Neurospora crassa OR74A: one gene and its partner. The main gene of each other region encodes a partner of the protein of the gene in region 2 in a complex. Links are inferred from orthologs where the notes say so. Each region holds a gene or a part of one and is shown on either strand. Other genes may lie near its edges.

Region 1 (11,071 bases), on a different chromosome or scaffold from region 2:
ACGGGCTGGTTGCTAAACACACAGTGACACCAGCGTTGTTCCCCACTGCATCATCCGCCTACTTAGAGGTACCTCCGGCTAGCTGGCAAGCACTCTAATGTGGTGATGTTCTGCTAGTGCAGCAACCACAGGTACAGGTTTATTGGCCGAAGGTCGAATCATGGTGTCCAAAGACTCCAAGGAGACTGCCTGTTTCCAAGGTCTCCTCTGGATTCCTCAGGTTGGTGGAGTGTTACGGGACCTTCCGGCGCACGCCGACTGGAGCGATGAGAACGATCGGAGTCCCGACCATTTGAACTGCGCCTTCTTTCCAAGTTGAAGGGTTCTCGTCCAGTCATTTCGGCATCAATGGCACGCCATCTGTCATCCATTGAAAACTGCATTTATCAGCAAGGCAAAACCCCCAACCCGTCCCGTCTGGCCCGTCATGAGGCTCATGGTCAGCTTCAAACTCTCAGCAGCGAAGACGTGTAAAGCAACCTCGCAACACCTAGCGTACCGAGCATCATGTCTCAGTACCAGCCGTCTCTACGTACACTACCTTCTCTAAAAACACTGGTTTCTGTTGGATCGCAATCCTTTGGTCCCTGTCTTGCCGCCACCAGTCCACCACACCTCGCAGGGCTTGGCAACGTCTTTGATGGATCCAGACTGTCGAGTGCTGTCGAGGACCTGCAGATGGATGATGGAAAGGCTGGGACATCAGAGACAAGTACCTATGGAAGTCCTCTTTTATTACAATATCTAATAGGTCCAGTATATGCGCACTTCCCGTTGGCGACAGCTCGGAGCATAACCCGTCCCGGCAGTTACTGTCCGAAATCTGGTCGCTTTTAGCGAGGTTTATACACTACCTAGGTACTCATCACCCGAATTGGTGTTTAACGCAGGCAACCAGATAGCCAAGTAACCAACCTCAAGTTCCACGTTGACCGATCCCCGTCAAGCTGGGGAAGCCAAGCCTACCCCGGAAAGACCAAACTCATCAAGTTTCCTCAGTCTACTGTCTGTCACCTTCCAGTTAGTTTAGACTCTGACTGTGTATGTAGTGTACGCATGCACTGGTATCGTGATACATTCCCATCGCTGAGTGGGGGTTGATATCCAGGTCCCAGCCAGGTCAAGAACCCAAGCATAGAGGTATAGGCCAATTCACCTAGTTAGCTCTTCCTCATCTTCGACATGTCTCTCTAGTCTCCAAGCTTTTCACTCTGCATCTCCATACTGTCGCAAAGTACCCGCTCCAAAAACCTCTTTCAAAGCGTCACATTGCAAAGACAAATATCCAGCGCTACCAAGCGTCTTAATAAGTCTATTGTAAAAATTGCGACAATTGAAAAGGTTCTCCGGAATTGACATCATGGAAGTACTTCGAGTTTCATTTTACGTTGCAAATTCATCAACGCAAGAGATTCGGTCAGCTTTGTGTCTACTCTAAGTAACATTATTGTCTCGATGTAGTCTAGTGGCTGAATAGTGTGTTCGGCCGTGAACCAGAACGTCATCCGCTCCATTTCGCTCAAAGTCCATCTTTTCATGCAAGTCCTGGGCACTCTCCCATGGGGAGTTTACCCCTGGTTGCGTATCATTCAAGAGCCAGCTTTGCTGTCAAATAGCACGAAATATATCTATAGGCGAATATCAACTCACATCAAGGCAAAAAAAAAAAAGTACCAAGAACTTACTGCAACCTATGGTATGTTACGAACATTGGGAGCCCTGCACTTGAGTATCGCTTGCTATGTTAAGAAGGTGTGAATGTACATAAGTATACAAACAATATGCCCCTACCTTTTCCACCACTTTCCACCCCATCAACACACACGCAACCAGAACTACATTCACCCATCTCCTTCCATCCTTCATCCCCCCTTCGCCCTCCCGCTTAAACATCAATCCTGGTACAACCCCCTCCACTGCGGATCCCACCCACAACTCAACATCTTCCTCTTAACCTCCTTGCTTAGGTTTCCAGAAGCATTCTCCGGGACCTCCAGGTCTTCCTGGTCCGCTGCAAGCACCGTCACCTCTACCACGGGTCCCATCACTTTCTCGTAGTACTCCCAAAACTCGTCCTGCTTCTTCTTCTTGGCCGCCAAGCTCGCCTCCATCGCGTCCCGCTCGGCTTGCGTGTAGACTGGCTCCGGGGCTGCGTTCTCGTCTCTCAGGAAATGCACTCGCTCCAGGCGCACGCGGCGGCGGCGTTTGTCGTCGTCGTTTTCGTAAAGCTGGTCGCGGACGGAGGGGGTTACTTGGTTGCCGGAGGTGTCGAAGAGGTAGGGTGGTAGTGGTTGGAGTTTGATGGCGGTGGAAGTGGTGGTGGTGTTGGTGGTAGTGGTGGTGGTAACATCTAGGTGAGAGATGGATGATGACGATAACGGTTGTGATGGGAGGGCCGATGTTATGGTCAGGGGCTTCTCGGAAAGGGGAGACTCGATGCTGGTGTTGCGGGGGCCGTCGCCGACGTGCCAGAGGAAAGGTATCAGATGGCTTTCGTTGACGTGGGCTTCGAAGTGGGATCTGGTGGGTAGGGTGAGAGGTGGCAGCTCGGATTGGAGACGCTTGCTGTGGCACGAAGCCCATTTGCAAGTCTTGGGCTCTTGTGGTTGTTCTCTTGCTGATAGTAAATGGTGTTGGTGAGGTTGTCTGTAATCGCCGTGTACGACCAAAACGTGTTTCCGTAGAGTCTCAAAGTTGTGCAGCTCGGCCGGGCATCCCTCCCATTCGCAGAGGAAGCGGATGTACCTGGGCGTGAGTTTGGAGAAAATTTCTCTAGGCAACTCATGGGGCTTCTTGGGTGGACGGCCTCTGCGCTTGACCTCGCTTGGCGCTTTGGGTTGTTTCGGAACTTTGGGTCTAGGGGGAGGCACGGGATTTCCTCGCATTGCGGCATAGGACAAGCCTGGTCTCCACCCGAACGGCCGCCCTCGTTTCTTTGTTGGATTGACCAGGGGTACTGGTGCTGGAATATCTGGTATCGGAAATGGTGGTGGTTGAACCTTCGGCGGCACATAGTTGGGTGCGGGAACAGTGGGGGTAGGTTTCGTCGATGGCCGCTCTGTGATTTTTCGCCTCTTCGGAGTGGGAGGCATCAGGTCTGATGTCACGAAACTGCCAACCATTGTATCTTCTTCTTTTTCCTTCTCCTCCTCCTCCTCCTCTTCGTCTGATGCAACATCTGGGACACTGATATAGGCCTCCTTCTTCACGCTTACCGGGAGCATGACGGCGACCCGAGCTGACCTTGGTGTTCCATCGCGGACAGATGTCGATGTTGGCGTCGCATGTCGCTCAGATCTTGAGGGTTGCAAAGGCGAGAGCGTAGCTCGCCTCGGATGTTGGGGAACTTTGACGGGCGCTTGTAGTGATGGTTCATCCTCCACGTCTTCTGCATCGTAGAACTCATCCACGTCCTCTTCGTGATCCCCTTGTTGGTTTGGGTCTAGATCCGGGTCATAGTCATCGCCCAGCTCATCATAATCGTCCTTAGGATCATAATTGAAGTTGTCGATAGGGTCGTCATCCGGGTAGAGGTCCGGGTCGTAGGGCATCCTTTCCACTTTTCCCTCGATCAAGTTTGCAGTAAAGCAAGTTCAGATTTAAAGCGAGATGAGGACGAAAATTGTCGTCATCCAACAGAGTGAATCTGGGGCCTAGTTAGTCGCATTATCTGCCACAAGTGAGAATATCTCAACGCACCTTTTTAACTGCTGAGATTGATGATTTGACGAGTTATGCCACTTGAAAGTCCCTGACTAGGGGACTGAAAGAACATCCAGTAAATATTAAGTATCTTGGTTGGTGTAGAGGGCTGGTTTGGCAAACTAATGCCGGCTTCCTGTGGTTATAGGAGAGGGCGTGGGTTGATGAGGGACTGACGCGACTGGACGTGATGTTAGCAATGAAACTATTACTTCTAATCGCACGGCTCAGAAAGTGGTCTGTGCATAGTATTAATTACAGAGGACTTGTTAACTTTCCTCAAATTAGGTAAGTGAGGTGAATTCATGGGGAAGCAGCGCTGTTTATGGTTGCATTCACTAAGTGTGTATGTTACAAGACTCCCTTCCATCCGGTATAAGAGTTCATTTTGAAGCAGTTTAGGAAACTACAAGTGTGGACAACAACGACTGATTCATGGTACCTCCTCGCCAGGTCTTCAAAACCGCCGACCGTCTGACTAGCTTTTGAAGACCTGACAAGTACTGGACTGTGCAAGAAGCAATCCAATGTTCACCCATTAGTTCTAATTGCTAGAAGGGACTACTAGTGTTGAACGAAACATCAAACGTATCAGTTCGTCGCCCTTGTATCTTCCTGGGCGGTCCATGTGAACGATGTACAGCAAATTTCTGCTCGCTGCCCAAACATCACATTGAAGACAATGTGGCCACACTTGGGTGGCTCTAGGTTTAAGTCTACCTTCCCCGTCACTGCGTAAGCGTCGTGGTGAGTGTTTTTGCGGACAGCCACACCGTATTTCTACAAATTGGTTGCAAGCCATGCGTGGATCAATAACTCGACGTACAAGACCAATGCCTCGAATTCCTTATCATGTGCTGCAGTCCCGTCACACTGAACCCATTCTGGATAGGAAATCTTTAGCCACGAACCACCGACGAACAAGCTGGGTCACGGACGTGCAGGTAGAAGGACGGCTTGCTGAATCAAGGAGATAACAACTGACATGTCCTGATGAACCCATTTATCCTATGTCCGTCTCTGTTCATATAATGAATGCTGGTGGCGAAGGCGACTAGACACGTGAGACACGCAAGAAGTTTGGAACGAAGTGCTGGATCCGGGCATGCCTATGATTATGTGTGTGAGCTAGACTAGTTCATGACCAGAGCTTCCAAACCGAAACCTGACGACATTATTCCCACTGCTCCTTTGTGGAGGTGCAACTCGGCTTCACTCCTCGAAGCTTCGTGTATATATCGTGATGTAGATGTCGGATAACCTCTGAGCGAGCTGCCTCGAGCAACTCGAGCAGCTTCATCAACTTGGCGCCAGATCCTTGCCGCAAGTAAGTGCCGAACTCTCGGATGGCACAAACTTTCTGAAGCGGCGGCGCTGGTATTTTCTCCTCGTGTGCTGATACGCCCTCATGTACCAAGCGTTGGCTCGCTGAGTCCGGTGACGTCCTTCGCTTCGCCGAGTGTGACAGGAACACCGTGGAGAGCTGACAGTCGTTCCTCCTCTTTCTTGATCTGGATGGCCTCGGTCTCCTTCCGCAGCTTCTCCAAGTTCCAGGCGTCGTCGTCCCCCTCGTCGTCGGAATCGATATCGGCCTCCATTCTCCAGTTGCCACTTTCGAACAAGGCACGACCGGTCGCTTCCTTCGCCTTCCTTGCGGCCTCCTCGGCAGCCTTCTTGTCGAGACGCTCCTTCTTCCATTTGGCGAAACTCTCGGGTGTTACGGGGGTGAGAGTGCCGGTGAGCTTGTGCCTCTCGGACTCGAGGAACTCCTCGAGCGTAAGGGTCCTGAGAGGCGACTTGTCCAACAGCGCCTTCTCAGCCGCCCTTTGCTCCTTGGTCTTGAGAACGAACCTACAGAGATGGTGTTAGTTATGAGAAGAAGCTAATGGTGCAAACCCCCAACTTACCCAGGCGGCAGAGCATGCTTATACATGCACTTGTCTCCTCCGTTCGGGCAAATCCAGAACCAACCGTACTTGCCCTCCTCGATCGCTTCGATAAAGAACTTGCACACCTTGTCGGTGGTGGTGCGCTGGTTGCCCTTCTTCGACAAGACGACGGAACGCAGCTTTTCTTCGTCCCAGTCCGCCGAGGTCTCTTGCTTCTTCTTGTCGTCCTCCTCTGCTCGTGTATCTTGGTACAGATTCCTCTTCTCGACCTTGCGCTCTTGCTCCAGGTCGTGGGAAAACTTGCACTTCTTGCCCTTTTCGCAGTTGCCCTTCTTGAAGAAAATGCAGACAACGGTCTTGGGGTCGACACCAAAGGGAACCTTTTGGATCTGGGCGGGCTTGTTGAGAAGCAGATCGGCCTCCCTCTTGGCATCCTCAGCCGCCTTCTTCTCGCGCTCACGGGCCGCCTTCTCGGCTTCCTTGCGTTTCTGCTCAGCGTTTCCGCCGTTCTTCATTGAGGCCTGCAGGGCGGCAATCTGCTTCTGGGCGGCAGAGCCCTTCTTGTTCTTCATGCCGAAGGTCTTGTCTTCGACAGCCTTCTTCTTGCCGGCGGCCTTCGGTTCCTGCTTCTTGGGAGGCATGATGGGCAAATATCGCGATCGGGAACCAGAGAGTAGAGTTTGTGTGTGTGTGTGTGTGTGTGTGTGTGTGTGTGTGTGTCGTGATGCGCAAGTTAATGGATCACGTATGTATGTTATATCGAGTCGCTGTCGCAGCTGGGGTGGTGGCGGCGCGTAGGTTGTAAATAGAGCGTGTTGTCGCAGCGACCTTCAAAAGATTTGCAGACGAAGGCGGGGATCTCGACCAAGTCTTCCTGGAGAGTTTCTTGGAGGCAATTCGAAGTGGGTGGGTTGAAACAACTCTAACCAAAGTGGAATGGGCCCACTGACGCCGCCCGGGATTTAAAGCGCTGGGGTGTCCGCCCACAGAAGCCCTGACGTTGGTCCGGGCAGCGCAGCCGGTATACCTAACGAAAGAAGAGGTCCTTCCTTCAGCTTGGGTCCGTCCACGTGACTATCGGATCCTCTTGTAAATGAACGGATGGAGATGTACCGATACATCGATGCTGCGTCGCGGCCCTCAAGGTGGAAAGCTGTCCATAACACCCGACAATCGGCATCATCACTTTCGAATTTGCGGTCCTCCCGGCGCAGAACAGCCAGTGCGATTGGCATCACCAAGAAAAAGTGAGCACGGCATTTTCTTGTCTCTGTCCAGCCGTCTGATTGACAGCTTTTTGAGCAGCAGAACAGCGCCCTTTGGACCCACTTGAACTCCCCTCCAAGCATTGCGAGTCGCAACAAGTCTACAGCTACCAGTTACGGCACCGAACGAATACCCAACACAGACTTTTCCTACGCCAACGACACAATGATTTCTGACGCCGAACTTTACCGTCTCGCCATCGTTCTCGGGTGCGCGGCCATGGTTCTTATTGTTCTCCACCACTTCCTCGAAACCAATGCCGAAGATCTCGAAACCGATGTTGTCCAGGAGAAGAAGGCAACAAAGGTGGCATCGGCCCCGACCAAGGCAAAATAGGACACAGCGTCCGCAAAATTGTACGGTACGAAGACAGAGACTATATTTCACAAACGGCACGATACAGCTTGTCCCGCCCTTGGGACATCTGGTTGGGGCGAGGCCGAGAAGGACAGGAGACAGACGGCCTACAGAACACTCTCTTCTACTGAGGGCAGAGCAGGACAGAGCTGGTCTGGGGCGCAACCGATATGCAAGGGAAGGGAACCCCGGAATCACAAAAGGAATACAGGGACATAGCATTAGGAAAGTAACGAGGTTTCGGGCCGAGGAGGATTGAATGGGTCAGAGTCGGTTGATACCCCATGGTTGACCCAATGCATAGGAGCAGACTCTTGCACTGGATTTCAGTTTTTGTTCGGATCATGGTGTATCATGTCACCAGTTAAGTAGCAGAAGGGTGCCAAGCGCTCTGGGTAGCATGACTGACTAATAATATGGTTTGTTCTTTTGTTATGTGCAAAGGGGTCGTTCTTTGTTTCCGCTTGTGAAAGAGCTCAATTGCAAACGTCCCTGAAGAAGCAAGTGGAAGCTTGGAGTGTGTGGGATAAGAACATCCATAAACAAGGACACACAGCTCCAAAGGGTCCCTGAAAGTGGTGACGCGTCTCGGAGAGTTGGCTATGTGTCCCGCCATCGCAGGTACCGGTACCATAACAGAACGGCCCAGCTGCGTCAGGAGGGATGGGTCTAGCCCCAAAGAGATTAGCGTACCAATGAGTGCCATCAGCCAAAGCGATTGCCACAAGGCTGTGATTGGCCATGACTGTTCTTTCCCCTTCTGAGCGAAGCCAAAGCGGTGGGGTGGCCAGTGCGGCAAGGATCCCGTCACGTTGGATGTTGTTCAGGACAGGCGCGTGTGGCCGCAAGTTAGTAGTGTATGGGCGGGAGCCTGCTCAGCCTGCCAAGCCTTGACGAAAGCGCAGCGAGGTGGCTCCGGTCCCCGTCGGTTCTCCCTCAAATTCTGGGCGGACACCGGTTTCTACTCCCTCCTCCGCCCCCCCCTCGTTCACCTCTCTCGCCCATTCACCACTTTATCACCCAAACAACACCACCTATTCCCCAACACAACCTACTATCACCGCCAAAGCCAAAGTCCATCACCGATACAGCCCATCCGCTCAAGACCCATATTCTTTTCATTGCTCGCAGGACTGCATCCAACTTCGTCAGCCTGACCACGTCCATTTCCACTTGCCATTCGAGTCGATCAGATCACAGTGTCGCTGCACCTTTTCCGTTGCAGCGCGACCCTTGCTCCGCTTCGACTTCACGCGACCTTGCGCTACCAGCGAGTCGTAACCTGACCTCCCTATCACTCTTCTGCCCAACGCGACCTTCGCCAGCTCTACTGCGCATCTGAGCCCGTCCGCGCTTCCTAATCTCTGAAGCCACCTTGACCACGCGTCTCGTCTTTCTCACCACTTCTAAATCACTTTCCAGCAACCCACCGCCATAATGTCCGGAAAGCTCGACCAGTCTCTCGACGAGATTCTCTCCACTCAGCGCCGCGGTAAGTCCAACGCCCGCGGCCGTGGAGGTCGCCGCTCGGCTGGCGGTAAGCCCACCAATGCTGCCCCCGCTGGCGGTATCCAAAAGAACACAAAGCCCGCTCGCAACGCTGCCAAGCCGGCGCCCGCAAAGAGTGCTGGTCTTACCGGCGAGAGCAAGATTGTCGTGAGCAACCTGGTGAGTCGCGTCCTCCAGCTTTCTCCTGCGTAGCATCCTTCACCGCTAACTCCCATCGCAGCCCAAGGACGTTTCCGAAGGCCAGATCAAGGTATGTTATTACCGATGAGGCCATTTAGCCTTCGGACTTTTATCGACATCCCTCTTCCGTGGCGTATCCAATCGGCGTCGTTTTCTCCACTGGGCGGTCGGGACGGTCGTTTATTGCAAATCGGCCCTAGGCCATCAAGACTGCCGTTGATTGCTCCTCCCTGACGTGTGTCATTACATTTCGTCATGTTGCGAGTTGAGCAGATCGCAGTCACGCTCTCCCCTCCTTATCATTGTGGTGGCTGGCAAGCGCCTCTGGTTCGGAAAGGGACAAGCAGTGCAGGATCCGGCAGACAAATCTTGTATGGGAGCCTAGCTGGGGGGTCATGCATCATCTCTTCCTGGCTGGTCACCTTGAAGTCGATCTTTGCACCCCAGCGCGCCACGCAGTGAGCGATGTTCGAGGCTCTGTTTCTCATGTCCTGGTTGGACGATTTCTGGGGGGTTTTGGTCCATCAGGGGATTTACAACTCCGGGGAACCGGGGTCTAGCATCGTGGTTGTTCGGGAATTCTACGAGAGGACGGCATCACATCAACTGGACCATGCTTGGATTGTCTGGCATAACTGGATCCCTTCACACGTCCTACTGCTTTACGGGCTGTGGGCCCAGACGCATCGGATCGTATGGATGGCTCTAGTGAGTGTTGGATTTTCGGCTCACCTGCCAGTTGCTGGTGTTGCTGACCTGGAGATTACGCGCGCTGCTCTGGCTATATCCTGGTTTTGGGCCGGCTCGAGATAATGCCCTAGCTTTGACCGATTTGAAACCGAACCGTTACGAACACGACCACACTGAAACTGGCGCACGACGCTAACCACGAATTACCCTGTGATAGGAATACTTCCAGCAAGCTATTGGACAGGTCAAGAGGGTGGAACTTTCGTATGGGCCCGGAGGCACTAGCCGCGGTATTGCTCATATTACCTTCCACCACGCCGATGGTGCTACCAAGGCGTACAACACTCTCAACGGTCTCCTGATTGACAACCGCCCGGTCAAGGTACGCTCATTCTCCATTGTATGAATCTTCTGGTTCTGGCTTTTCTAACGTTCCCCTAGGTCGAGGTCGTTGTTTCCAATGCCGAGTTGATCCCTCAGCCCAAGAGCCTGACTCAGCGTATCACACAGCCCAAGGCCCAGCCCAAGTCTGCCGCCACTGTCAAGCATGCCGCCAACGCCCCCAAGGGTGCTGCTGCTGCTAAGCCTGGCAGCAAGAAGGGTCCCCGTCGCCCTCGCAGCGCCCGCCCTGCCAAGAAGACCGTCGAGGAGTTGGATTCTGAGATGGCTGACTACTTCGAGAGTGGCACCACGGACAACGCCACCGGAGCCGCGCCGGCCGCTGCCAACGGTGGTGATGCTCCCATGGAGGACGAGATTCTTTGAACGAAGGGTATGCATGAGGAACAGCAACAGTCGATGAGAGCGAATGCCAGCTTCAGCGACAACTTTGTTTGACGGATTTCGGATTGTCTATGATTGTTTTACTATTTTATTTCGGGTTCGGGCAGGGTCTACAGCTTAGGTCAACAGCTTGATGAAATTTTCTCCAGACTCACGACGACCTTCAATTATCGCCTCTCCACTATTATTCTATTAGCGAATGCTGTATGACCTGCGACTGGTTCGCCGCGACCTACCATCTCGCTCCTGTCGTTTACGGTCCCTCTGATGGAAGATGGATTGCGGCAGGACACGTCTGCCAAAGGGCCAAGGGTCACAATTTGGTGTTGTTATCAGCACTTTGTCACTTATCCTTTGGTCGCCTGTTAAGCGTCTTCCCCTCCCAGTACCCCAAGGCGATGAATATAATTTCGAACAAATAGCTCGCCTCTGCTACTAAATTGTTGGAGCGCAACGGACATATATGTCAGCGAAGCGGGAGCAATATCCACAGTGGTCCTTTTCACATCGCAAGTCACGACCAAATCTAGCATGCGCAGGGCGTTGCCTTTCTGTACTTTACAGAGAGCTACACCTGCGGAGGGTAAATTGTGCATCCCAAGACCAGAAGAGAAAGCTCAAGCAGCTAGATCAGCGTGGATCGAGGACCCTCGAGCGCTTCCGGGCAAGAAAAAGGCGGAAGTTAATGTCATAAT
Region 2 (10,807 bases):
ACTGCCCACGGATTGAGCCTGAAAAAGCGCCGCGTCCCTGTCCCCCTCCATTCGGCCGACTATTTCTCTGATGAGTCCTCGGAACGCGGGAGCCCTCATCCGCGCAGCTCCAAACTGCGCAGTCTCGCTACCCCGGCCGCCGCCGAATTCACACACTCGCCCGCTGGCAGAATGGCGCCGCACAAGAAGCACCTAGACGCCCACGGCCAGACCTTCCTTGCCCGAGCCTGTGCCAAGGGCGAATACAACGTCGCTAAGCAAAGGCTGCAGGAACGCCCTGAGGACATTGACGTTGCCGACTATGCGGGCAACACTCCCCTCCAGATCGCTGCAATTAACGGTTTTGACGATATTGTGAAACTCCTTGTCGAAGCTGGCTGTAACCTCGATTGCCTCAACAACGAAAAGGACACGCCGCTGATAGATGCAGTGGAGAATGGCCACTATGAGGTCGTCAAGATCCTGCTTGATGCCGGAGTGAACCCGCGCAAGGCCAACGCATATGGCGAGGAGCCTATTGACCGGGTTAATGAAGACCACGACAATGCCGACGATATCAAACGCGCCATCAACGAAGCAAAGCAGAGGATGGGTGAGCGTCGGCCGACCTCTGAAGACCACCATCTCGATCACGCCACGGATACACGCTCATCCCATGGTCCGGATAGTCCTCGGCAGTCACCTGCCTCCGCCTCCATCAACCCGTCTAGTGGACGACGTGCCGGTACCGTTCGCGCTACCAAGACCAGCAATCATCTACTTTACATGCCCATGGATGACAAGACGCTTCGTGCAGCCGCTGCTAAGGGAGACGAGGAGACAGTCCTACGGATTCTTCAGGTTAGGGACCAGTTCGACGATCCTGAGTCCATGGTGGCTGCAGCTCGTGGTGGTCACGATCTGGTAATGCAGTTGTTGTTGGCTATAGGCGGTGCAAACCCTGATCCACAACCCATTTCGACCAACGAATATTCGACACCCATTCTCGCCGCCATAGGTCAAGAAAACATCAAGGTCATCCGGCTGCTCCTGGACCAAGCCAATTTCGATCCCACCAAGAAGTACAAGGGGGAGACCTACTATGAGATTGCACGCAAGCGACGAGGTCCCAACTGGATGCAAGAGGAACATATGCTGAAGGAAGCATTCGACGAATATAAAAAGAAACCCAGTTCCAATGCCAAGAGCCAAAGACTGTCAAATTCCCGGGAGACGGACCGCGAGCCTAGGCGCACACGAACCGAGATCAAGGAAGATGCGTCCAAGTCCCATCGGAGAAAAGCTTCAAGCCCTGCTAAAGAAGCAAAGAAAACGGGACCCTCGAAAGTTCCAGCTAGTCCTCGGGAGAAGAGGCGTTCGGATTCCGTTGCCACTCACCAGGAAGATCAGACATCGCCCAAGCGCGGCCCTGGCCGGCCCAAGAAAGACGACAAGATTCCAACCATTGCCATTTCCGATCGCGAAGCATCACCCGCAGGAAGAGTCACTACCAAAGCCAAACGTGCAGATCATGATGTCGCCGCTGCATCATCCGAGGGAGAAACTCCAAAGCCGCGCCGGAAGCTGATTTCTGGCAGGGAGCTCAAGGGCGAGCGTGAGAAGCAGCGCCGCGCCTCTGTCACATCAAATGGCTCTTCGTTTAGAGATCAGCCGTCTAGTCCACGAGATGAGTGTGAAAAACCTCAGATGATGGAGAAGTATCATGACCGGACGAAGGCTATCAGAAGGGACGAGTCCCGTGATCGATCATCTGTTTCTGGTGAAAGTTCCGGCAAGCGACACCGGGCCAGTGCAACCCCGCCACACCCTGGGTCTACAGAGAAGGATCCCTCAGAAATTCCCTCTAAAAAGAGACGGTTGGACGTTGAAGGCAAGGACAGGCGTCTTAAGCCCAACTCAGCCGAGGATCGTCACCTAAAGCCTTCTGTGTCCAGGGAATCCAGTCTTGCTGCACCACCTGACGGCAGAGTCAGATCTCGCAGCAGAGATGACGAAGATAGGAGATCAACCTCAAAGCCCCGGAAGTCAGAATCCACCTCAGAGCATGTTCGCTTTGACTCCGGCAAGCCCACCATCCCCGAACCCAGCATCCACGTCAAATCCGAAGACGGGGAGGTGGAAATGGGAGACGCGGATCATGCCGCCCAGGAAGAATCAACACGGCAGATGCTTGAAAAGCGGAAACTCCAAGAAATAAGAAAGAAGCAAGCTGAAATGGAGTCAGAAGCTCGCGAATTGAAGAGGAAAGAGGAGGAGAGAAAGCGCAAAGACGAAGAGCGCGAGCGGAAACGCTTCGAGGACGAGTCCAGACGTGCTGCTCAAGAGGAGAGGCAACGCCTGGAAGAACTGCGAAAACAGCGACAAGCAGAAGAAGATCGGAAACGAAGAGAGGAGGAGGAGGAACGGAAACAGCGTGAAGAAGAGGAGGCTCGTGAACGCGAACGAGAACGTGAGAAAGAACGTGAGCGGAAGAGAAGGGAAGAGGAAGAGGAGCAGAAGAAGAAAGAGGCTGCGGAGAGGAAACGAAGGGAACAAGAGGAGGAGGAAAGGAAAAGACTGGAGCATGAAGAGAAGGTCCGGAGAGAAAGGCTTGAACGGGAAGCCGCTGATGAAGCACGCCGTAAGCGCGAGGAGGAACGTCGTAAGCGCGAGGAAGAGGAGCGCCAGGAAAAGGAACGTAGGGAGAAGGCGATGCGGGAAGAGGCGGAGCGCAAGCGTGTTGCTGCTCAGGAGGCAGAAGAGCGAAGAATACGCCACGAGCAGGAAGTCATTCGCATCGCCAATCTACCTCCTGCGCTTCGGTGGCTGGAAGGCGCAGCGAATCCCAGGATTCCACAGATTGCTGAAAAGTTTAGCATCATGCAGGGAGTTCGTTACGACTGCATCGATCCAGAGGCAACCGGGACGCCAGAAGGTAGAGAGCAGTGGTTGCTCAACACGCAGATTGCGCTGCTGTTGGGAGAGAAGGACCTGCGGCTCTCAAAATGTCAGTTTTCACCGTACTGGATTGAACATTGCTCCCAAATGCTGACTTTTGGGTGTAGACAACTCATGGACCAGGATACCGGCATCAAAGATTGCCAAGCGCGTGCTTTGGCAGCTTGAGTCGGATCGCTATGCGCTGACATCCCCGAATCTTTACGACCTCGGCAAAGAGCTCCCTGGATACTACGGTACCGACGACACGGATAGCATCGTCTACCGTGTGACGCAAAAGCTCCGAAGTGCTGCCTGGGAGAAATTTGCTGCTTTGGAAATGTTCTTTGTCAAGGTATGCGTCCGTCAGATTTCCACGCCTTATACGTTATGGCGTATCAACTAACATTTCTCACGAGGCCTCTGACTTTTTGCGTATCATCCCTACGATGCCTCACCTGCGGGACATTCGGCTTGTGATGGCCTATCGCGAGCTTCCGGAGAATGAAACATACTTCAGAGACTTCCGACCCTTGGAAAAGTGGAAGAAGGACCCGGATGCGGGCCGAAATCATGGCTTTGCACCCGGCAGCAAATACTTTGTCAACGGCCAGTTCATCTGGGAGGAGAGGCCGAAGGTTGGTATGGTCAGCAAGATGCCTTTCGAGGAAGAGAGGGTTCCCCGCCGCGGCCTAGCACCCGTGAGGCCAGATGACCCAGAGTACGCCGAACTTTGCAGAAAGCAAGGGCTTGGGCATTTGTTGGGCGAGGCCCAAGGCTCGCACGTCTTGCCCAATGGTCACCGGTCAGCATCGCCAATAAGCACGACCTCGTCTTCAAACCGCGTGAATGGAATCACATCGCCAAGGGCTAGGACTGTCAACGGGCACGCGCATGGGCATCACCCAATATCGCCATCATCGGAGACTGGACCCGCGCAAGCTCGTCCGCTGCTTAACGGCCATCATGAAATGCTTAGCGGCGATGAAGAGGATTGATGGGTTACGATGTGTGTCAAAAGTTATTACGATGTCAAGATGTACTGGGTTGTCAGGGACGAAATCAACTAGGAACGCCTTACGCTCAAATCTGAGAGCTTGGTTGGTTTGTGTATTGAACGAGGTTAACCAACGGGACAGGTCATGAGGAGGAGTCCAGCGGTCAATGTCAAGCAGATCACTTGGGTTAGTTGTGTGGAAAAGGATGAAGCGATGGGGGTGTCGGGGGTCATGTCATGTCGACCCAACTTTTGCAGATACCTTTAGCGTTCATGATACGGTATTATCGTGCTATCTTGTACAAACAGTCACATAGCCTTTGTCAGGTTTTGAAACCCGTAAATGCGGACGTCAGTCGAGAAGTAGACCAGGCGGGCATCATCATTATCATCATCATCATCATGACGAGTTCGGACTGAAGGGGGCATCGAATTCACAAAGCATCGAATTTGGAATGGACGGTGGTATGGATGGGATGGAGTTGTGGCGAATAGCTGTTGGTTAGGTCAGTGTTTGTTTGTTGGTTTCCATTAGTATAACTTGACGATAGTTAATGATGAAAGGAAAACAGACGGGTGAAAGTGCGAGTATCGATGACTGTGGTATCGTGTGTGTATCGAGTAAGAGAAGAGTAACCGGAACCAACCACCATGCGAGCGAAAGGTGAACTATACGGAAATTCTTTGCTACACGGCATGAAGTGGAAACAGCCCCGAGCGAAGAACTCCCGTCCGGTCGAGAAAGGGACGGCGTAATGGAGGGTCAGCCCGATGGTAGGCATGTGTACAGTACCGTAGATGATCAGGTACGGAGCTTTGGGGGAAGGATTAAGGAACATGGAATGGAACGCCGGCGCCAAGGCCAAGCCCGGCCGCCTAGGGGCGTTGACTCTTGAGGAAGGGAACCGAAAGGAACTTGGAGCTTCCGTGGGCCTGTGTGTGTGCACTGTCCGCAGGTCCGCCCGCGCTGCGGCGATTTTAACCGCATCGGCGCGGCGCTGAAACTATGAAATTTGCCCCACCTTCAAAATTCCCAAGAAACAATCAAGATCATCATCAACTTCCAGGTTGGAAAACACTGAACCGCGCTCTGTCCTGCCACGACCGAGCAATCATAGTCGCCAATCCATAATACAGATACGCCATCGTGTGAGAGCTAGCAATCATGTCGACCACGGTGGATAAGGTACGTATATCGCCCTCTCGCATTCCCCATTAGAGAACATGTTGGAACAAGGAACTAATGCGACCGCCGCACCATGACAGATCAAAGAGATCGAGGCCGAAGTGAGTTTTAACTGCCCCCGACAGCCCCCGATTTTCGATCTCTCCGAGCCCCGATGCGATACGACACCCCCGAGAGAGGACAGGAAGTTGGACAGGTCAGAGACCAAGATGCGCTGGCCCCCGCGACACAGATGCAGGCAGACACAGAGGCTGTTCAGGCCATGGCACTGGAGCTGGAGGCGCGCGACCTGGACGATGAGACACTACCAACGGATTCCCCCCTCGAAGATGAACGAAACGACGCAACAAGGACGGACCTCGGCTAACGATATGTTTCTTTCCCCCTTCGATAGATGGCCCGAACTCAAAAGAACAAGGCGACATCCTACCATATCGGACAGCTGAAGGCAAAGCTCGCCAAGCTCAAGCGTGAGCTGCTCACGCCCTCGGGCGGCGGCGGTGGCGGCGGTGGTGCTGGTTTCGACGTCGCCAGAACCGGTGTGGCCTCGATTGGTTTCATCGGTTTCCCCTCGGTCGGAAAGAGTACGCTGATGAGCAGACTGACGGGCCAGCACTCTGAGGCGGCCGCGTACGAGTTCACCACGCTTACGAGTGTGCCGGGTCAGGTTACCTACAACGGTGGGCAGCCCTTTTTCTTCATCTTCTCATCCTCCGGAGCGTTACAAACAAGGTCCAGGTTGAACTGACATTTTGCATACATACAGGTGCCCCACTACAAATCATCGATTTGCCTGGTATTATTGAGGGCGCCAAGGACGGCCGTGGTCGTGGTCGTCAGGTCATCGCCGTCGCCAAGACGTGCCATCTTATCTTCATCGTGCTGGACGTTAACAAGCCGCTGACGGACAAGCGCGTCATCGAGGCCGAGCTGGAGGGCTTCGGCATCCGCATCAACAAGGAGCCGCCCAACATCACGTTCAAGAAGAAGGACAAGGGTGGCCTGAACATCACCAGCACGGTACCGCTCACACACATCGACAACGACGAGATCCGCGCCGTCATGAGCGAGTACAAGATCTCGTCGGCCGATATCGCCATCCGCTGCGACGCCACTATTGATGATTTGATCGACGTGCTCGAGGCCAAGTCGCGCTCCTACATCCCTGTTATTTACGTCCTCAACAAGATCGACGCCATCAGTATCGAGGAGCTCGACTTGCTGTACCGTATTCCCAATTCGGTCCCCATCAGTTCTGAGCACGGCTGGAACATTGACGAGTTGATGGAGGCCATGTGGGAGAAGCTTAAGCTCGTGCGCGTGTATACCAAGCCGAAGGGCAAGATGCCGGATTATTCGGCTCCCGTTGTGTTGAGGAGCAATAGGTGCACGGTTGAGGATTTCGTAAGTTTTTTTTCTCTTTTGTTTTTGTTTTTTTCTCGTTTTCCTTTGTTTTGATGCACCTGATTGAGCAAAAGAAACATCTGGGGTGAGAATGAGGTGAGCTAACAGCTGATGAACCGCAGTGTAACACTATTCACAAAACCATCGTGGATCAGTTCAAGGTTGCTATTGTTTACGGCAAGTCCGTCAAGCATCAGCCTCAGCGTGTTGGTCTCAGCCACGAATTGGCTGATGAAGATATCGGTATGTCTTTGGATGTTTTTCTGCTGGAAGGGTTGTGACTAATGGATGAAAACAGTCACCATCGTCAAGCGATAAAGAATTTTCGTGGAGAGGATTCTTAAAGATGTGCTGTGGTTTTTACGAGACGAGACACTCACAATACGGACGGTGGCCCGGGTAACGCACGTACACTGACCGATACCTGATCGACAACGCACCTTCGAGCCGTACGCAGACTTTCATGTGGGCTCGATCGCTTGCTATGGCGCACGGTATGGTAAGTATAAACCAAGGGGTCGATAGAAGGAGCTTACTCGGTCTTTAAGTGCCGAACGGGAAGCCAAATTGCTTCTTCCACTACTATACGCGCGGTTGTCCATTGACACAAGTTGTGGACAATGTGAAGAGACCCGAGGCTGGTGAAAGTGTTAAAAAGGAGGGGAAGGGTCCGAGACGAATGAAGGGATCAAAAAGGCTGCTATATAGGATATTGGCTAGGATTAGATCTAGAGAGCCAAGGTCACGACGGTAATGAAATCACGTATATACCTACTTTTTTTTTAAAGGTTGAGATTACCCTGTATAAGACTGGGTTTCTGGTGCTGGCTACAGCCAGGCCCAAAAGATCACTTTCAGGCTTATGTTGATCATTGGGGGGGTGGGTAGAGGAGGGGGAGAGCGAGATGTCCTAGAAAATCCTGGAATGGTGACAAGGGCTGACTCTATAAAGACAAGTGACAGCTTTCCGTTACCCTTTTCCTTTTCTGTTTCAACTCATTTCCCATGCCCGTTCTCTATACGTTTTCCAAGAGTAATGAGATGGACGCTATTGTACAAACAAGACTGTGCGTACTTGGCTAATACAACACTTTTCCTGACTCTATCAGGTTACCTTCGTGGTTCTTCCGAGTGACTAAAGTTCGTCAGAAACGAACCACTAGGCAGAACAGCGAGTCTGGGTAATTTTTCCAACCTCTGCAAAACAGTCGTAACCGGATGTGCTCAAATGACCAATGGGCCGGATAACTTCTCAAGTCTTTTCTTTGTGCTGTGTTTGTGCCCACAATTAGCGTAACTTTTTACTTTATTTCATGTTTTTTTTCCCCCTCTTTTTCCCATTCTATGTATATATATCATATCACCATCCTCTGATCGTCATGAGAAGGTGGGTGGGGACCGGGAAGTGAAGAGTTCTAAGAAGTCATTGAGGAACCGAGGTCTAAGCATCTCTAAAAGCCTGCCAAGTCAAACGCGAGTTCTCTTGTGAACAAGTTGTAAGCAGATTGTTCGTTACCTTCTTGATGGTTTACAGAACGGTTTGATACATGTTTGTATCCAATTCTCACATGAATATCGATTCAAACACCAGAATGTGTCAATAACTGGCTCGCTAGTTTACCGGGAGATCGTACACGACCGTGTGTGTATGTCGGTTGATGTTGAGTGCATTTAGTTAGAGAATCTCAAGCCGATACTCCAACGTCTAACGTCATGCTGCCATTCTCTTGATAACTATTCCTAGTCAAACTAGTCGCAAGTTTTATGTACGTGTTGAAGTCGATCTTTCACCTTCCATGTCATCGACAAAACTCAGTTCGTGACACTCGAGCCTTCGTCCCCCGTTTCCTCTATAGTCGATGTTCTCTTTCAAGTTCCTTTGATATTTGTTCCATTCCCGTTTCATTCTCCCCCAACCCAACTCAAAGCAGAATCGTCCTGTCTCTCACCGCTCCTTCCCTCTTAATTCACTACGAGTCGACTCGATCTGTAGCTTCCCGCCATCATGATGGTACAAACATCTGTTTTCCTTGCAGGCAGTCTTCACGCACCTTCCCTGGCCTCTCAGTAACGTCAAACGTACCTCCCATTCGAGGGCATTGGTGGGCACGTGTTTCCCAAGTCTGTGAATTTGCTTCTTTCAAGAAAGAGTGCCACAGCAGTGTCACCTTTGCTTCCATCCTACCTCAAGTTACATGCTGATCTTCTCTCACTTGCTCTTTCCATATGATCAGCATGGGGTGAGTCATAAAGTGCAGGGTGCGTGCTAGCTTGGTGGGGGACGAAAAATCCTCGTCGTCCCTTCCCCAAATTCTTCACCGGGGTATTTGTGAGAGAAGCGAGGGAGCCGGACTTGGTGTCTAGATTGTGCAACGTATTGTATGGTTTAAGGTTGTGTTTGGGCGTTGTAATAAAGGTTTGATCCACAGAAAGAAAAGGACTCACTGTTTACTTCGAATGATACCCGCTGTGTGTTTGTGGCATGCCATTTGGGTTTGTATGAGTGTCAATGAGGGAGTGTCCACAGTACATGTTACGCCTCCCATCCATGCAAGATGCCGTGTTCAACATTAGCATCTGACCCATTCTAGCCCCCTGATGTATACGTGAGTGATTTTGCAGCGGACTTTGGTTGTGATTATCCAGTGATGATGATGATGATGATGATGATGATGATGATGATGTTGTTGTTGTCTGTTGTGTTTTCTTGTTCTCATGCCTTGCTGTGATATAGCCCAACTCGCTGTAAACTCACATGTTTGAGAAGTTCTCTCTCCTGGTAAAGCAAACCAACTGAAGAACTAACAGGTTTTCCAACTCTGAATGAAGACCAAGTGATTGATAAATGGCGCTGATCCCAAGTTGAACCGTGTCTCCCTTAAGCCATGGCGAGGATTCATCTCTTCCATTACACCCCACTGCACACTAGATTTTGCATGACGAAGATTGCGCGCGACAACATCACCATGTAACGATCATTTTGCTCTCCTTTCCAGCATGATGAACAGAGGTATTCATTCAAAGACTATACGCCACTACAGACGTTTATGCCTGTTCATGAAGATACTGGACTTATAGTCACCTAACGATAAAGACAATCATTACCATGTCATTCGCCCCAACTTGTTTACTCTTTGTAAGTTTTGGGTTTGTCTAGACATTCACGCAACCAAGCCTTCGCTCAACAAGGTGTCGTGGTGTTTGCCTCTACCCCTTGGGTATCTCACAACCTCATACCAAGATGTTGTTTCCGATGTTCAATGACCGTTTGAGAGTCATGTTGAAATTGTCTACACGATGATAAATCTGGCTTACAGGTTAGACCACTAAAGACCCTCAACGCAAAGCAAAGAAGGAAGTAAATTACGGGTTTGTCGATCAAGTCAAACTTCTCTGTACGTGATTGGCGTATTAACCACTCAGCCATTTGGGTTCATCAACTTCACAAGTCATCAGTCATCCTCAAATTATCAATGACACTCACTGACTGACACTGTAACCCTCTCTGTCTACATCTATCCTTGTACCAGTAGCCAGACAGAGCTAAAGAAAATGACTGTCAAGCTGCAATCTTCTCCAGTTTCCAATGGTCAGATCTGACGTCCCATCTCATCTCATAACCAGCTCTCGTATTGTAGCAAATTGGTTGATCATGATCCAGACTACATACAGAACTCCACCCCCCAACTTCGCAAACTCCCAGGGCACTCAGCAAGCGAGTATCACCCCAGTGTCCAGGTCTCATCTTCCCATTTCCTCACGTAGAAATCGGCGTTCTCGTTCCCGCTAGAAGTATCAATGTCGTTAACTGCACGGAATGTGAGTGGAATGTACCCGACTTGGGCTCTGGGATACTGTTGGCTTGTCACGAGCTTGCTCAACTTGGACCTCTCCCTAACTCCTTTTTTGTTGGTAGTTTGTAAGCAACAGAAACGCTGGTCAAACTGTGTTGTACAGAGAGAAGACTTGACTGCCGAAAAAGGGGCGGCGTGTAATGTGTATGTGTGTGTGTGTGTGTGTGTGTGTGTGTGTGTGTGTGCCACCCCCCTACCGTATGTTGTGCATGCATGTATAAAGGGGGGGATGTGTGTGTGTGTGGTGATGATAGTAACTGTGACACCACTTCCCAGTTCCAGCCGCATTATAGATTTGCTTTAGGGGTAAAAGGGGCAAGCGGACAGGTACGTAAACACAAGACCGATATCGCACGATTCAAAGTCATCAAGCGAACCAAACTGCGGCTCTTAGTGCGCTGGCGCTACAGCTCGTCTCCGTTGGCCTGAAATCCAGACCTAGTCACTGTT

What was found.
Region 1: the proteins of NCU00389 (region 2) and NCU01795 are in contact, whole or in part, in a crystal structure (PDB 4A9A), measured with the Saccharomyces cerevisiae proteins. The link is inferred for Neurospora crassa OR74A from reciprocal best matches to the Saccharomyces cerevisiae genes RBG1 and TMA46. Residues at the interface, in NP_009364.1 of Saccharomyces cerevisiae: Ser83, Lys84, Leu85, Thr86, Gly87, Thr88, Glu89, Val106, Ile107, Arg108, Tyr109, Lys110, Gly111, Lys113, Leu150, Val152, Pro155, Leu156, Lys159, Leu249, Ile252, Asp253, Ser254, Leu255, Ser256, Ile257, Glu258, Glu259, Leu260, Glu261; in NP_014734.2 of Saccharomyces cerevisiae: Gln217, Pro218, Lys219, Ile220, Thr221, Leu222, Glu223, Phe225, Ile226, Glu227, Glu229, Arg230, Leu233, Lys237, Leu238, Thr239, Pro240, Ile241, Thr242, Ile243, Asn245, Phe246, Trp249, Lys250, His253, Lys257, Lys269, Pro270, Thr271, Gly272.

What each region holds. Positions count from the first base shown.
Region 1 is NC_026502.1:2,385,877-2,396,947, forward strand, and holds NCU01795 (zinc finger containing protein), read right to left. Parts: upstream 6,569-11,071; 5' UTR 6,233-6,568; coding exon 5,610-6,232; intron 5,554-5,609; coding exon 5,109-5,553; 3' UTR 4,066-5,108; downstream 1-4,065. Other genes in the region: NCU16553 (hypothetical protein), read left to right, coding at 508-837; chap (CDP-2- and HDA-1 associating protein), read right to left, coding at 1,893-3,551; NCU01794 (hypothetical protein), read left to right, coding at 7,023-7,193; NCU01793 (RNA binding domain-containing protein), read left to right, coding at 8,652-8,882, 8,944-8,973, 9,811-9,975, 10,035-10,358.
Region 2 is NC_026503.1:3,676,907-3,687,713, forward strand, and holds NCU00389 (developmentally regulated GTP-binding protein 1), read left to right. Parts: upstream 1-4,931; 5' UTR 4,932-5,078; coding exon 5,079-5,099; intron 5,100-5,179; coding exon 5,180-5,200; intron 5,201-5,493; coding exon 5,494-5,779; intron 5,780-5,865; coding exon 5,866-6,503; intron 6,504-6,625; coding exon 6,626-6,746; intron 6,747-6,801; coding exon 6,802-6,821; 3' UTR 6,822-7,304; downstream 7,305-10,807. Other genes in the region: NCU00388 (hypothetical protein), read left to right, coding at 1-2,986, 3,045-3,271, 3,336-3,914. UniProt on the Saccharomyces cerevisiae protein: Involved in ribosomal function.